Oreochromis niloticus: one gene and its partner. The protein of the gene in region 1 purifies or fractionates together with the protein of each later gene. This does not show direct contact. Links are inferred from orthologs where the notes say so. Each region holds a gene or a part of one and is shown in the gene's direction. Other genes may lie near its edges.

Evidence for each region. Proteins that work in one complex are often made in the same cells at the same time.
Region 2: the proteins of prkar2b (region 1) and akap9 purify together in Homo sapiens (affinity purification with mass spectrometry; 3 studies listed by BioGRID and IntAct, counting the BioPlex papers as one, with this or other methods). This does not show direct contact. The link is inferred for Oreochromis niloticus from reciprocal best matches to the Homo sapiens genes PRKAR2B and AKAP9.

The regions. Positions count from the first base shown.
Region 1 is NC_031972.2:48,756,062-48,764,053, forward strand, and holds the start of prkar2b (cAMP-dependent protein kinase type II-beta regulatory subunit), read left to right. Parts: upstream 1-4,912; 5' UTR 4,913-5,207; coding exon 5,208-5,472; intron 5,473-6,559; coding exon 6,560-6,595; intron 6,596-7,652; coding exon 7,653-7,705; intron 7,706-7,795; coding exon 7,796-7,879; intron 7,880-7,992. Other genes in the region: hsp90b1 (endoplasmin), read left to right, coding at 1-156, 248-493, 617-753, 850-928, 1,093-1,248, 1,462-1,557, 1,660-1,683. UniProt on the Homo sapiens protein: Regulatory subunit of the cAMP-dependent protein kinases involved in cAMP signaling in cells. Type II regulatory chains mediate membrane association by binding to anchoring proteins, including the MAP2 kinase.
Region 2 is NC_031985.2:17,965,983-17,973,434, reverse strand, and holds the start of akap9 (A-kinase anchor protein 9), read left to right. Parts: upstream 1-4,169; 5' UTR 4,170-4,371; coding exon 4,372-4,419; intron 4,420-7,452. UniProt on the Homo sapiens protein: Scaffolding protein that assembles several protein kinases and phosphatases on the centrosome and Golgi apparatus. Required to maintain the integrity of the Golgi apparatus. Required for microtubule nucleation at the cis-side of the Golgi apparatus.

The DNA.
Region 1 (7,992 bases):
ATTGAGGATCACTCCAACAGGACCCGTCTTGCTAAGCTGCTGCGCTTCCAAACCTCCAACAGTGAAACAGACCTGTCCAGCCTGGAGCAGTATGTGGAGCGCATGAAGGAGAAGCAGGATAAGATCTATTTCATGGCTGGCACCAGCAGGAAAGAGGTGAGTGAATGTTTTTGGCCAGGTGAAAGAAGTGTAAACTATCCTACACTAGCTGAAATTCTCATGTCTCTTGTTCTTCCATCCGCTACAGGCTGAGTCCTCTCCCTTCGTTGAGAGGCTGCTGAAGAAGGGCTATGAGGTCATCTACCTGACAGAGCCTGTGGATGAGTACTGCATCCAGGCATTGCCAGAGTTTGATGGAAAACGCTTCCAGAACGTGGCCAAGGAAGGTGTCAAATTTGACGAGAGTGAAAAGGCCAAGGAGAAGAGGGAGGCCCTGGAGAAGGAGTTCGAACCTCTCACAACTTGGCTGAAGGACAAAGCTCTAAAGGATAAGGTAATGCTGTGATATTAAAAGAATGGGAAATGAGTGCCAGCTGTATAAGCAGTTAATTTTGGCTATAGCTGCCCATTTATGTCTGTTGCAACATTTAATGCATTGCTGTTTATTCCCCAACAGATTGAGAAGGCTGTTCTCTCTCAGAGGCTAACCAACTCACCCTGCGCCTTGGTTGCCAGTCAGTATGGCTGGTCAGGAAACATGGAGAGGATCATGAAGGCACAGGCCTACCAGACAGGAAAGGACATTTCCACAAAGTGAGTGTTAATCCCGTGCTGATCTTTGCATGTCCATTTATTACTCCACCTGCTATTGCTTTGCTCTAAATCTGTATTTCTGTTTAATCTTTCCAGTTACTATGCCAGCCAGAAGAAAACACTAGAACTCAACCCCAAACATCCTCTTGTCAAGCAGTTGCTTAACAGAGTCAATGTGAGTTTAACCACTGTCATTTTTGTACATCTGTACTATAGTAATTGTCCTTTACTAAGATTACCATCAAATTACTTAGTAAATGTAGTTCATTACATGAATAAACTTAAAATGGACCAATCAGAGCACATAGTTGAACAGTTTCTTTTCCTCACACCCCCCAGGCCGATGCTGAGGACCAGACTGCATCAGATCTGGCTGTGGTTCTGTTTGAGACAGCCACACTGCGCTCAGGATACCAGCTCGTTGATACAAAAGCTTATGGAGACAGAATAGAGCGCATGCTCCGACTCAGCTTGAATGTACCACTAGATGAACAGGCAAGTAACTGCAGCTCTTGTATGGTATACTAATTTGCATAGCAGATGTTTCAGTTTTGGTATCTGTGTCTGAACTAATGGTTCCTCTTCCATCAGTGACCTTTTTTGAGTTTAGTCCTGTCTCTGCTTTTTAAATCTTTGTAAAATGTTAAGTATTTTTGCAGTGATATTTAAGACTGTAGGATATATTTAATGATCATGACTCTTTTATAGATTGAAGAAGAACCAGAGGAGGAGCCTGAGGAACCAGCAGAAGATGACTCTGAAGATAAAGAGGAGACTGTGGATGAGGATGATGATGAAGAAACGGTGAGAACACTTCACACACTCTTGCTTGAGGAGAATGTAAAATTAAGAATCTAGATGATGGAGTGCTTTACTCTTCTGACTTTTCTCTAATCACTCTTACAGACAAAAGACAAGGATGAACTGTGAAGCACTGAAGGGAAGAGCGTGTAACAGTGGAGCTGGAAAATGGACTTAAGTCTCTGTTTCAGTGCCACCGTGGCCACATTATTTCTGGGTGGGGTCCCTGGGTTGGGGTTTTTTAAAGCGAATATTTGTTTTTGTTTCTTTTGTATTACATTCCTCATGACTGTAAATTTGTTAATATTTAACTGACCTGTTTATGGAAAGATGTGATCCTGTCTATTGATCAAATAAATGTTTCGTGGAAAAAATGCTTGCATCGTTTCTGGTGTTTTATTCAAAACTGAAAGAGTTGCTTTCAGACAGGTCTTGGCTACTATTTTCTTTTTCAGTCATCTTAATCCCAACATATCAAAAGTACAGTCTGGCTGTAGCTTATAGTGTAATACATCTACCCATACATAGGGTGCCATGACATTTTACAGTTTGTTTTCAGACTGAAATGATGTAAAGAGTCATGGTTACATGAGCTGTTCTACATTTAGGATACTTTACTGTTCTTTTCGGTTGCACATTTATGCAAATTTAATGAGGAAGGATGCATTTAAAAAAAAAAAAATATTAAGTGCACTGAGGGTGACACCCCTGTGGTTTCTCTACAGCAACCCTGGGGAGATGGCTTACTGGTAAGATGTCATGAAGACTGATGCATCTTGTACAGGATGTCTTCATTGAGCCATGCCTTTTTTTTTTTTTCTTCTTTTTTTTTTTCTTTACTGAAAGTGAGCAGAACTAGGTGCCTAGCCTTAATTGTTGGATATAGTGATTTTGACTATAATAATATTGTACACTAAATGCTAAATCTAATAAAATCTACTTGTGTGGGTTTATCTCAGAATCTGTTATGATGACCTAAACATGCAGACCACAGGCTTGTCAAGGTTTACAGGAAAGCAATGAAACCCACAAGGATGTGGAACAGCCAGTAGATGCAAGAGATAAAACTTGTTTGGGGTTTGTTTGTTTGTTTGTGGGGTTTTTTGGCGGGGGGGCGTCTTCACCACTGAATTAATTATCTAATTTTACACAGTAAGCTTATTTTACCCAAGAAATACATTTGTTCCAACACACTCAGGAAAGACGGCAACTTAATGGCACTTGAAACAGGAAACAACATCAACTGTATCCTAGTTTAACAATACATTGTAATGTAGTGGGATGTCCAGTAGGTGGCACTAATACATTCAAAATGGGTTCTAGCAGCCAATGAATTAAAGGACGCACTCAATCATTACGTCATTAAATTGACTTAAGAGGTTTCAGCTTCACATTTTTGAGATGAAGCCATAGAATAAAAACATGGAGCCCTTTCGAAGCTGATCTCGCCCCACTTCACTTGGCAAGTATTATTTAAGTATTGCAAAAAGACATGTTTCCCCCCCCCATTTCTTTAGTTGAAATGCACGTGAAAGAATGCCATTGTAGAATAAAAGAAAAAAATGCAGGCCTAAAAAAATCTACATCTGATGAACAGTATCTTGAAGTTGTTTTAAAAGAAAACTGTTCTTTTCTTTATATATATATATGTGTGTGTATATATATATGTATATGTATATATATGTATATGTATATATATGTATGTTGTATATCAACAGAGAATTCGCTGTTTAAGTGTAGTTAACAATTACACCAATGCAAGCTCTACTGGTCTGTTGTGAAGCTTAAAGTAGAAACCGTCTTCAGGATCTATGGTTCAGTGAACAGGGCTGACGCACAGTGTGTGTGTTTTGTGCAGCTGACTCTTACAGTAGATGAAATGATGGTGTTGTGCTGTATTCAGATGTGTGTGTGTGGGGGTGTGTGTGTGTGTGTGGGGGGGTGTCTTATAGTTCACAGTGGTCTGGAATAGTGAGTTTGAAAGCTAACAGCTAAACTGCAGCAGTGGAGCATTACAGGTCACTCCATCGACATGCTCCCATTCGCCGGAGTGAGAAATGCTGCGCCTTTCTTAATAAAGGGTGACAGATATGGGCCACAGCAGGGGGAGGGGTGTCATAGTGGAGCCACAGAGGAATGATAACCATGGCAGATAATAGCTGTGCTCCTTTAGCACAGTTATTATCTGTTTCCTCAAGTGGTTCCCTCAAACTAACCTTCTCTCTGCTGGAAGCCTTGAAATTCCAACACAATATGAGAAGGGATTTTTGGGGGGGGGGGGGGGATTTCTCACACTGTAGTAGTTGTGCCACCACATGCCATGACTAAAACTCACCTGAGGTCACCCAACCTCAGCAAGTGGGCAGACTTCCCACTTGCTCTGCATTCCAGTTTAACCCTTACCCCCTTGTTTTGCTCTACTTCCCCTTCCTCTCTGGATTAGCTGTTTGACAGAATGTAGTTTTGCAGGCTTGTGAACTCATGTCACTCCTACAAATGTTTCTGGTACGAGAAAGTGTCAACTAAATTTGAACTCATATTGTGGATATGCATTTTTGTGGCTCAGTCATATTGTAACCCACAGCAGAGCATCATTAGTTCATCTCTTGATAGATGTCCATATGAAGTCTATGATTAATGAGCTTTAGTTTGAGACCTAGACTTATTTTTTCTGTCTGAGCCGTTTTTCTAATGTACTAAATGTTCAGCTACACAAGTCCGTGATATCACAGGGGAACGTTTGATTCTGAAATGAAACTTCCATCTGGCGTGGTCAAAGTGTTCTGACAGGTCCCATGACATTAAAATATCCAGCACATTTATTATTATTTTCTCCCTATGGAACAAGAAATGAGCCTCCAAACTCTCTAAACTATCATAAACGATCTTTTCTTATTAGCTCCTTTAAAAAAAAGAAGCCTAAATAAAAATACAGAACTAATCTTTATTGAGCTGTAGGTCTTTACAGAGGTCTTAGGTTTTAATGTTTACCTGTTTAAATATGAATTACATGTGGCAAAACAAAAAAATAGATACATTTCCCTCAGATTCAGTGTTTATCATTGCATGGTAGTACCTTTTTGTCTTTAGCCTTGCTATGTCTACTGCTGTTGTTTTTTTCTTTTTAAATAATATGCGATGTCTTCTTATTTAATCATATTTTAAATCGTTTAGGGTAAGTGTGAGTGAACAACCACGGAAAACATACATGCCAGACCGCAGGATATTTGATCTAATCTCTGTTAGTGAAAAATCGATCTATGACTGAAAGAGCCTTCCCCAGGGCTTCTCTTTCCCATCATTTGTATTTTGCGACTGACTGCAGTTTCTGCGCCGCTGCTGCTCATACGCAATCTCTGGATAGGTGGTTGCCATGGATTCCTGGGTCACATGCGTGGGTTTCCTAGCCAGAAGCAGCAGAAGATGTTCGGACCAAAAATCCAGAGCCATTTTCATTCAAGAAAAAGAGAGGATCCGCTGTGGAGGGCTTGCTGAGCGGGTGGTCTGACTACACACCCGTCTGCTGATTTCGGCATCTTTAAAAAAAAGCCAACCAAAAAACACGACGGGAAGAAAACCTGATCTGGGTGCTTTTGAATCACTGAAATTCGCAGCAAACCGGTTTTGTCCACATCCATAGACTGATAACAGGAATGAGTATAGAAATTCCTGAAGGACTGACGGAGCTGTTACAGAGCTTTACCGTGGAAGTGTTGAGGAATCAGCCCAGGGACTTGCTCGAGTTTGCGCTACAGTATTTCACCCAGCTTAAGGAGAACGAGACCAAAGAGGCCTCATTTGGCAATGACCAAAATTCGGCCCCGAGACTTGGGAAAGCGGTCAATTTCATTGACGAAGCCATGCAGATCGATTCGGAAAACGGAGAGGAGGACGACGACGATGACGAGGAATTCATAGGTGGGCTAACACATTCACCGTGCGTGTTTCTGTCAGGGGGATGCTGAACGTGACTCGAGATGCTTTGCTTTGAATTGTGAGCATGTATGGATGGATGGATGGCTGCACCGCGGCTGTTCTGTGGGAGAGAATGAGAAACCACATCGAGCGCGCTGATGCTGCCGCCATACATTTACAACGGCTCTGTCATTTGCCATATATGGTCACCGAGGCTCAATGCTGCTTCACGAACGTGTTTTGCTCTTCACGTTTCTGCTCAGAGAATAGCACCTGCACACTGCGGCTTCTACGTTTGCTTTATAAATAATTATGATAGTAATAAAAACATCTGGACCGTTTGAATGTTTTCTGTCTCAGGTGCAGGCCCGGTGGGCCTCCCCTTCATATGTACCCCCCCCCAAAAAAGACAAAGCTTGTAAAACATAAAGGGCTACAGCTTCAGCTGTTATATAGATGCAGGCAGTACACAATCTGCCGTCGACAGGCCTACATTTCCTGAAGTATTTAACACAGTGACTGCTGCTAGAGTGTAATGAGGTGCAGCCAGAAGCAACCCAGAGCTCTGACACAGCATCCCAATGAGTGGTGGCTTCTGCAAGACTGGCTGCAATGGTTACATAAGGAGAAATGCCTCACATGCAGTTGTTAAACGTCTGTGTTTTGGGTCATTGTTGTGCCCCCCCAACCAACCAACCAACCACCATTAATGCCTCCCATATTTCAACGAGATTCCCCGGTCAGCACTGGTTGGCAGGCCATTAATGGATGAGACCTCCTATCTAATGTATATTTCATACTGACCTATTGTGTAGCAGCTTGGCACTGTTTTTCTCATTTAAATTTGATTCAAAGGCTAAAATCCACTTCAAAGCAGCTGTCCCCCATTCAGCTTTTACTCAGATGAATATAGACCCTAATGAGAATGCTCCACTTGTGCTGTAGATGTGTAGATGTAGAAATACAACAGCCTCAAACCTTCCTAGCAATAACAGTTTGTGATGGATGGATATCTTTTATGGTGAAATCTAACATGCTTTTTTAAAAAAAACCCAACCCAGATATATATCTTTCTTTTTCTTTTCTCCAGCCCCTGTGATAAACAGATTCATCCGAAGAGCATCAGGTGAGTTGCCATCTTCCTGTTGTGTCAAGGAGGGAAACTCTGGACAGTGTCTGAGCTGAAAACATTAAATAAAGCCTTCTGTGACACATGACTAGCGAGGCTGCGTCAGATTGGTTTCAGTACAAGTGATACTTAAGTATTTTTCCATCTGTCTTTTGTTACCGTCTTCCACTTATTGTAATCGTGTTGATTTGTTACAGCTTGTGAAGCCACTTTGTCTTGAACCCGTCAGTGAGTAATGTAGCAATAGTAAAGTTGCGGCTTCACATAACTTTGTTGTGTTTGGATAGCTGCTTGGTCTGCCTTTCTGAATGGAAAGAATTATTTATTAATAACTTAGGTATTTAACTTACCTCTTATCACTTCAGACGGGGAACGAACATCTTCTACTTAGTACACTGTAAAGCTTGCACAGGAAATGAAAACAAATTTAATTAAGTTAACATTAAGCTGGCCACTTACTATATTCCACTTTAGCCTGTGCCAAGTTGAAAGTTTTTTATACCACTACCCCATCTTTCTGTTAACATATAGGAAGGAAATGCGGTAAGAGTGCTGTCATCCATCACCGCATATTCCTGTACTCAAGATGAGAAAAGTTGTTTTTATTGAAAGATTTATTGCCTGAAATGGTCCTGAATCATCCCTGGAATTTGCCTTTTTTGTTTGACTGGGATGAAGTCTGTGCCGTGGGCCACCTGAAGATGAACATTTGTTTTTCAGATGTTATGTAAGGTGTCGTTATTCATCTAAAAGTTCATTTAAAAAAAAAAAAGTGAAGCTTTTTCAAATAAAGGCCTGGTAGACAGTTCCACTGGAAGTGAGCTCTCAGAGACCCTAGAGACGCTGGTATACTTCAGCATTATAATTCATGAACGGGACGAAACAAGCAATTAATAAGGGATTAATTAACAATTCTATTTACAAACACCTTTGACATCTACTGTCGCTAATAACAAGAAAACTGCCCCAGAATTGAAAACACTGTATGGACAAAATAACTGCTGCTCATCAATAAGAGAAATGTAAATGTGATTTGTGTGTCTGTGTCATGCAGTGTGTGCTGAAGCATTCAATCCTGACGAAGATGATGAGGATAAAGAGCCAAGGGTAAACTGCATCCATCCAGTGATTATTTTATTTACACAATTGGTTTAACTGTTCAGAGGTTATAAGTCTGATTCGTGATTTATGTTTTAGGTCACTCACCCCAAAACTGATGAGCAGAGACAGAGACTACAGGAAGCATGTAGGGACATTCTTCTGTTCAAGAATTTGGATCCTGTGAGTGGATTATTCCATAAGCTCTTCTCTGGTTTGTGCCCTGCCATATCCTAAATTAAACAAAGGGAAACATGGCCCAAGGCCAGCAAATTTCTTTCTTTTTTTTTTTTTTG
Region 2 (7,452 bases), on another chromosome or scaffold:
CACTTATGCATATTTTAATGCATGACACTGATATTGTCATTATGCAAATACACATTGCTCTGCTGCTTTGAGACTGAAGTGAGCTCTATCGCAACAGCTGGGCAGCTGGAGTCTCGATTCAAATTTGTCTCACACATCCACAGGTCACAGTTACATTTGCATTTGCACACCTGAAATTTTCTTAAACGTATCCAAAGTATTTTAGGGACCCTTATAGTCTTTGTGTCTGTCTTTTAATTACTTATACTCTATGACAGAAGATAAAGAGAGGCTATAACACACCATAAATGGTAAGAGTGGTTCAATCTGATCTACTCTGCTATTGTATTTGAAACAGAGACATTCCCACATGTTGCTGAGCTTCCAGCTTTCTTGTTGCACTTAACTAAACCTACTGGAGTGTGACATGTATTTTTTTAGCCCCCATAAAAGTTATTTGGCCTCATAAGAGATTACAAGAAGCCAAGATTTCTTAAACATAGAAATAGATCATACATGTTTTGGTAATACAAACAGTCATGTGAAGCTTTCACAGGACTTTATCAGTCGCTTACAACACTGAAGAGGAATTTCAGCTAGTATACCCTTACTGTTTCCATAGGAATTAAGTGGGCAAGTGGCAGCCCAGTGCTGCTAATCTCTAACAAGTATGGCTTGTTTGGATGGACTGCCAGAAGAAAGCCTCTTCTCTCTAAAAAGACCAAAGTGGAGATTCATGGCCATAATGCACAACACCATGTTTGGAGAAAGGTAAGTACAGCATGTCAGCACACCACCTACTGTCAAGCACGGTGGCGGATAGGCCATGATTTAGCTTGTTTTTGCAACCATGTCCTCATTTTTACATATTGGGTTTATGAAGCATAACACAATAAAGTCTCAATTGTGTAATAAAATATAGAATACTTTGAGCAGAATGAAGTATAAGGATGAAGAAAAGCATTAAAAAAAAAATGTAATCATATGAGGATCTCAGGAGGTGAAACTATATGACACTTCTGGGCTATAAATACACTTTAATTTAAAAGAGCCGCAGCACTGGATGTGATGATAATCTACATTAGTTAAGGTTGCTTTTAATCTTTTGTCCACCATGTGTATTTAAAGTGTTATAAGTCTCAGCTGAATGGTGCTTTTAATCTTTTGTCCACCATGTGTATTTAAAGTGTTATAAGAAAAATGGTTCAAAGTGGTTTTATTTTACTTTTCAGTATATAGATGTTTCTATCATTTTAATTCTAACAGCCTTTATTCACCACCCTCTGACTTATAAATATAGCATGCATGCTGTTCATTTGTTGAGCTTGTCTTGGTAAAGTCACTTGGGTAATTGTAGACTCTGTATACTCCCTGAGTGAATCAATAATTCAGAGACTGGCGAAACTTTCAAAAGTTCCTGCAGACGCTGGTGCTCAAACAGCGAGCTTTCACAGGTGAGATCAGGCTGGTGAGAATGTCCAAAAGAAGATGGGTGGAATTCAAAATCTGCCAGACGATAAGCTGTTCAGCCCCCGTCAGCCGAAGACACAGAGCATCTTCTCCCGCTGCTGCTGCTGCTGCTACTGCTACTACTGGTATGTTTCTGGAAGTATAAGGAAAAGTTTAATATTTTATAATTCTACAAGAATATTTTAACCTGGATGTTAGAACAAGAAATCTTCGAGTGAAACTGAGGCAAAACGCTTAGGTAGGATATTGGTTTAAGACTGGACTGGCCTGCAAATAAAAAGGGAATAAATGTTGGTCCACCTGGAATTTAATCTCAGGGAAATTGAAATAAAATGTAACAGTGTAAGGAAATAATCAAAGAATATGAAATATTAAAACTGGTTAAAATTTGTTAGTCTTACATTTGCAGTTTGAGGCATGCCCTGGGGAAATATGGCGTTTAAGCAAATGTGTAACAAATAATCTCCAGATTTCTAAAATCCCAGCAAAGACCCCTCTGAATTACTGCCCATATCCCCTATTAGCTCACTGGTGATCAAATAAAAACTTTAAAGCAACAAGATTAGTTCATCTAACGATCAAGCCATAAAGTTTATATTATCACTGACTTATTTGGGAGAAAATGACAGGAAAGATAAAAGGCCCTTAGTTTGCCAAGAATATGCTACTTTAATTAAATATATACTATTTTAAGACTGAAGATCAATCCCACATGGAGGCTGTGAGTAAAATATTGCCTGTCCATTTGTTTTAATCGTCCCCATCTGTCCTAGAAACCGATGCCAGTCTCTCATATTACCTGCAGCACCATTCAGCTGGGACAGCTCACGTGCTTCCTCTTTAACATATGGCAGCATTCTTGGTGATGCAGCCCATTCAAACGCCATGCTGGAGAATGTGAGGTGACGGCTGGAGCCTTTATTAGCAGCAAACATCTTTGATATGAAAATATTCTGTGTTTAAAAAAGAAAACTCTCAACTGGGACAGCTCTGGCAACCTCTCCTCCTCGCCTGTTACCATAGAAACTGAGCAGACTTTACAAGCAGACTTCAGACTGCAGAGAATGAAGGGAAATTTATGGGATTGTAGTCAAATATAGTGACGGGATTATTAATAATTAGCACTAAATGTATTATTTTTGCATTAAATAATCTTTTACATTGTGAGAAATTCAGCCCTCTTTTCTGTAATGGCTCTACAAATTCACAAATATCTTTCAAACCACAAAGACAGAGAAAAAAAGAGAATCATAAATTATGGAGAAATGTGGTGTGTTTGGATTTAAAGCAGTCAGCAAGTGTTTCATCACCACCCTCAATGGTAGACGCCAACTAAATGCATTTTAGTGAGATACTTATGTGGGTACAAATGGAGAGACATGTATTTTATTTTGATAGCATCTGGCATTTGCCTCCATTACTTTATCAGTCAAGATATATTTATAGAAGACAAATTTAAAGCTACCCAATAGGATTAGGAGTATTTCAAGTGGCAGGGAGTGAAACCGGTTTGAACATGCTTGATAATTGTTTCACAAAGTGAAAAAAAAATGGGCTAAAAAGTAAAATTTATATTAAAGGCTTATGTGGTTTCATGGTGAACAAGTTATTAAATCATAATATACTTAGTGTCTAAAGTAAATGTACTTATTATATTGAATATCACTTTTCAGAATCATGTATATACTGGATCATAATTTCTGATTCACTGATTTGTATGTCACTGTATGAGTGCAAACTACAGTATTTGCAAAGAAAATATGGTAAAGTAGAAGCAGAATGTAGCATTACATTGAAATACTTAATATGCTCTCATCCACTGGGCATCATTAAGCTTTACAGTACTCTGGTCCAAAGGCATTAGCGGGGCATGCCCGAGAACAGGATACACAGTGGTTAAAATTAGTTAGATTAAATCTATCCGCTGTTTTTGGATACAGGGTTATACTTTTACTTTTAATTATTATTTTGTTGTTGTTGTTTAGATATATACTAAAACTGTGCTGAATTAATTGTCATGTCATTGCTTCTTTTACTCAAAGTCAGAATCAGAGCTTGACAGTGAAAGAATTTTTTCGAATTAATTAGCTGGAAGTTGAATTTGGTATTCCCACCTCACCTAAAAACAAGTTTCTGGGAGACAATTCAGCAACAACCATGTGAGAACTTGAGTAAGAAAACACTTTCCTTTTTCAGTAGGTGGAGGTTTGCAATAAATAACAGATTCTGGTCATCAGACAACAGACTTTTTAATGACAATATATATATCGAAATGTAATTTTTTAACTTTATTTTTTTTATAAATGAATTAAAGTATTTAAAAAACTTTTTCTAGTACTGTGTGGTCATACGAAAAAGTGATCGCTTGCCAAAATTTGATTTCCTGTATTTGCCTGCTCTGAGTGACTTGATGGCCTATAATCTGTCCAACATTCCTGACACTATTTGGGAGTTGTGGTCACTTTTTCATAACGTTACTTTTATATATCTTTTACTTATACAGGTGTAAAAGTCCCACTGAAAATAAAAATGACTTTTTAAAGAGAGATATGGCTAAGAATACACCAGAAATAGTAACAATATAACATAATATATAGAAATTTGAAGTGGTAAAAAAAAACGACGATCATGTTGGGGACGGTATTTCTGACTGAGCGTGAACGCACCACCGTTGGGCTGCCAGTGGGCGTGGCTGTGAAGGCACCTACACTACGTCATCATTACTGGGTCTCATGTTTACGTGGAAAACATGGCGGCGGACTACCAACAAGGAGACAGCTAGTTAATACCAGTGGAAGTCTCTGGGAGCGAGCCACGAGTCAGAGAGAGAGAGGGACATTTAGCTGTTAGCTTTTAAATTTCTCTCGCGGATACTTCGCATGAGGCAGTTTCTCTGTTTGTTTAGCCACAGGGACTGCGGGGATGGAAGACGAGGAGAGGCAAAAGAAGCTGGAGGCCGGCAAAGCAAAGGTATGATTCTCAGTTTTGGTGCTAGCACAACTCACTGACACTGCTCTCATTACTCTGAAGTAGCGACTTAATGCTGTCGACAACTTGTTTTCTCGCGGCCGGGGTCTGTCAGACGCTTTTCGCCTCACCCCCCCTCCCTTTCATTTTACGCTATCAGCTGTCGGGCTCCGCAAACATGCGCCCTGCTTCGCTCTGACAGCCGGGCATGGGGCGGGCGGGGTGGGGGTGGTTAGCATAGCCGCTGCTAGTCTCCTTTGTCATGCTGCATGTCTGCACTTACTAAAGTGTTTCCTTTTACTTTACCGAAACCGATGTGCAGGTGTGCGCACGCAGTGTTAAGACCAGACGCCACATTGCTACCCGGGATTTATAAACGCCACCTGAAGTGACACTGACTGACAGGCTGGTGTAACAGGATTTACAGGACATAACCCCACTGGCTAGAACCAGCATTGCCTCACATGCCAAACTTGTGCTTTATTAGCTGTCTTCTAGAAACGATAGCATCCACAAACTGGATCAATGTTTATATTAATCGACATTGACACAGTGCTCACTCCTCTTTCAGTTTTGGCTCGTGGTGCTTGTGGATGACACTGCAGGAGCTCTGTTATCTATTTTTATAGCCTGTATAACCCAAACATCTTGTGGGGGATGTGTTTTATCAAAAAAGATGTTTGCAAAGAGATCTTAGCAACATAATTACAAGCTGGTCAGACCAGCCTGTGGTGAGCCACCATCTTTCTTTCATATCATGAATACACCAGTGTCATGCTGCAAGCATGTGGACAATTAGATAAAGCATATGCACAGTTGAGTGTTGCAGTATAGCCCTGAATGTTGCATTCTTATACATTCTTTCCTCAGCTGTCTGGATGCAAAAGCATATATATAAATGAGACTTTAGTTGATGCAGAGGCTTCTTAACAATCTTAATAATATTTAAGGAAAATCTTTATTTGCAATGTTGCCTGTCTAGTTTTCATGATCCTGCTCTCAAGGTTCAGATGTGGGTCCAGTGTTAGATTTCATGGTGTATGCCAGTTGTTATGGATGTTGAAGCTGTGGAAAGCTTTGGGAGGAGTGTCGGTACTTATTTGACTGGAGTTATTTTAAGTTGCAAATTTTAAGACAGAAACATCAGCCTGAGCCATTAGATTGAGACCAAATGTTTATAAAGTGAAGCACTTGTGTATTTCTAAAAATATTACCGTGCAGCACAAACTTACAAAATCTTGTAAAGAGATTGTATCTGCAATCTTTGTACATAGGTAATGTGTTTATATATCTATTTATTTTTTGTTTTCTTTCTACTGTGGGAAATGGGATCCTGAGGTTTGATTACGTCTTCTCTTTTACTCCAGGAGAGCCCTAATGAGAATGAGTCTCTACGAACTAAATTGTCGAGTCAGAAAGTGTCAAAACTGCTTAAATCAGGCAGTCTCACAAAGGGAAATCCAGCCTCTTTCCATCCAGATGCTGCAGAGAAACATTCAGCATGCTGGTTTTTAAATTGCTTGAGCTCTCTGGTTTTTGCACTGCAGGGGAGACCGTCTCCCGGGTTATGACTTTGGTATTTTGGTTTATAAAAAGGCCCCTCTGTGGTGCAGGCTGGTTTCTTTCACACAGTGCCAAATCACAGTGTCCTCACGCAGTGAAGAAATCTCATGACATAATGTTTAACAGGGACTTCCAGGGCTGAGTCAGTCCATAAGCTGTGGGGAGTGTTTGCATTGTCTTCTGGCTTCCTCACTTTATAAAAAAATATTTGTTTTGTCATGTATTTCCTCCTGAAAAATAGGATTTTTAGTAATAAATCTTAACAAGAATGACTTCAAAGATGCATTTCTGAAATCAGGTGAAGGAGAAGTTGATGTTGATATCTGAGTGAAGGGTAAACTGTCTGTCATCTATTGTGTAGCTCGTAGCAGGCGAGTGCCTATTGAGTCACACCAGACAATAAGCAAAGTGAATATTGTGGGCCAGTGTTGCCAGGCTTTTGTTTCAGGCTGTTGTGTGCAGATGCTTTGTTCATGTTTGCCTACAAAATGGAGCACACTGACAAGCGTGTTACTGGCATTCTGGATTTATTCATTCAAGACTTTCACTCAGTTCTTCAGTTACATGAGTAGCATCTTCTTAGGCTCCCTGTATGAAAAACACTCAGCACTGACTGCAATAATGTACTCAGGGTGGTGTCAGATTTTCTGTTGGGTCAAAGAAACTCATGAACTCAGATATGGCACCTGTTCCTACACTTACTTTCTCTAAATCCCTCCCAATTTTCAGATCCAAACGTCACCTGTCATGTCACTTTGTAGTTGTGGGTAAATTTTCTGTCTGTATATATCTGTCAGATGAAGAGTTTCTTTGTTTGTTTCCCTCCAATTAAGATTGAAGCTTATTATATCTTCTTTTTTATTCTTACAGAGGTGTGCGTTTCCACTGAATGAAAGTACCTTTTTCATGTTGTTTGTCACCCTGGTCGTTGGGATCAGTAGTACATTGAACAGAGCTGATTTTTAATGAAACATCAGGGAATAACCTGCGTCAGTATATTTGCTGTTTGAGCAGGCTCAGATTTATACTGATTGGCTCAGGGGGCAGCCACTATGGTGGTGTTTAATTTGGCTCAGGGGATGCTCATAATTCGTAAAGGATTCTATGTGTATTTGTTTGTCTGCTTCTCCGATATGTCTCAACTGTGCAGCTGTGCAACCTCAGGCTCTTTCTGCAGAATGAAGAATCACTGATTTGTTTGTGCTTTTGACAGATGAATACTGATGATTATCCACAAATCAAAAAGCAATAATACTATCTTAAAACATTTTATGCATCCGATATTTTTTAGAAGGTTTACATAATGTGTTTTTTCAGCCCTGGAGAGACCAAATGCTGAACTACGTGTAAAGGATCATTTTAATTTCTCAGCATTCAAATGGCCTTAAAGCTCAGTGTCACCACCACCCATGCCAGGCAGTGTTGCAGGTTTTGAGGACAGCAAAGATACAAGTTGAGCTACTTAACTGAGGC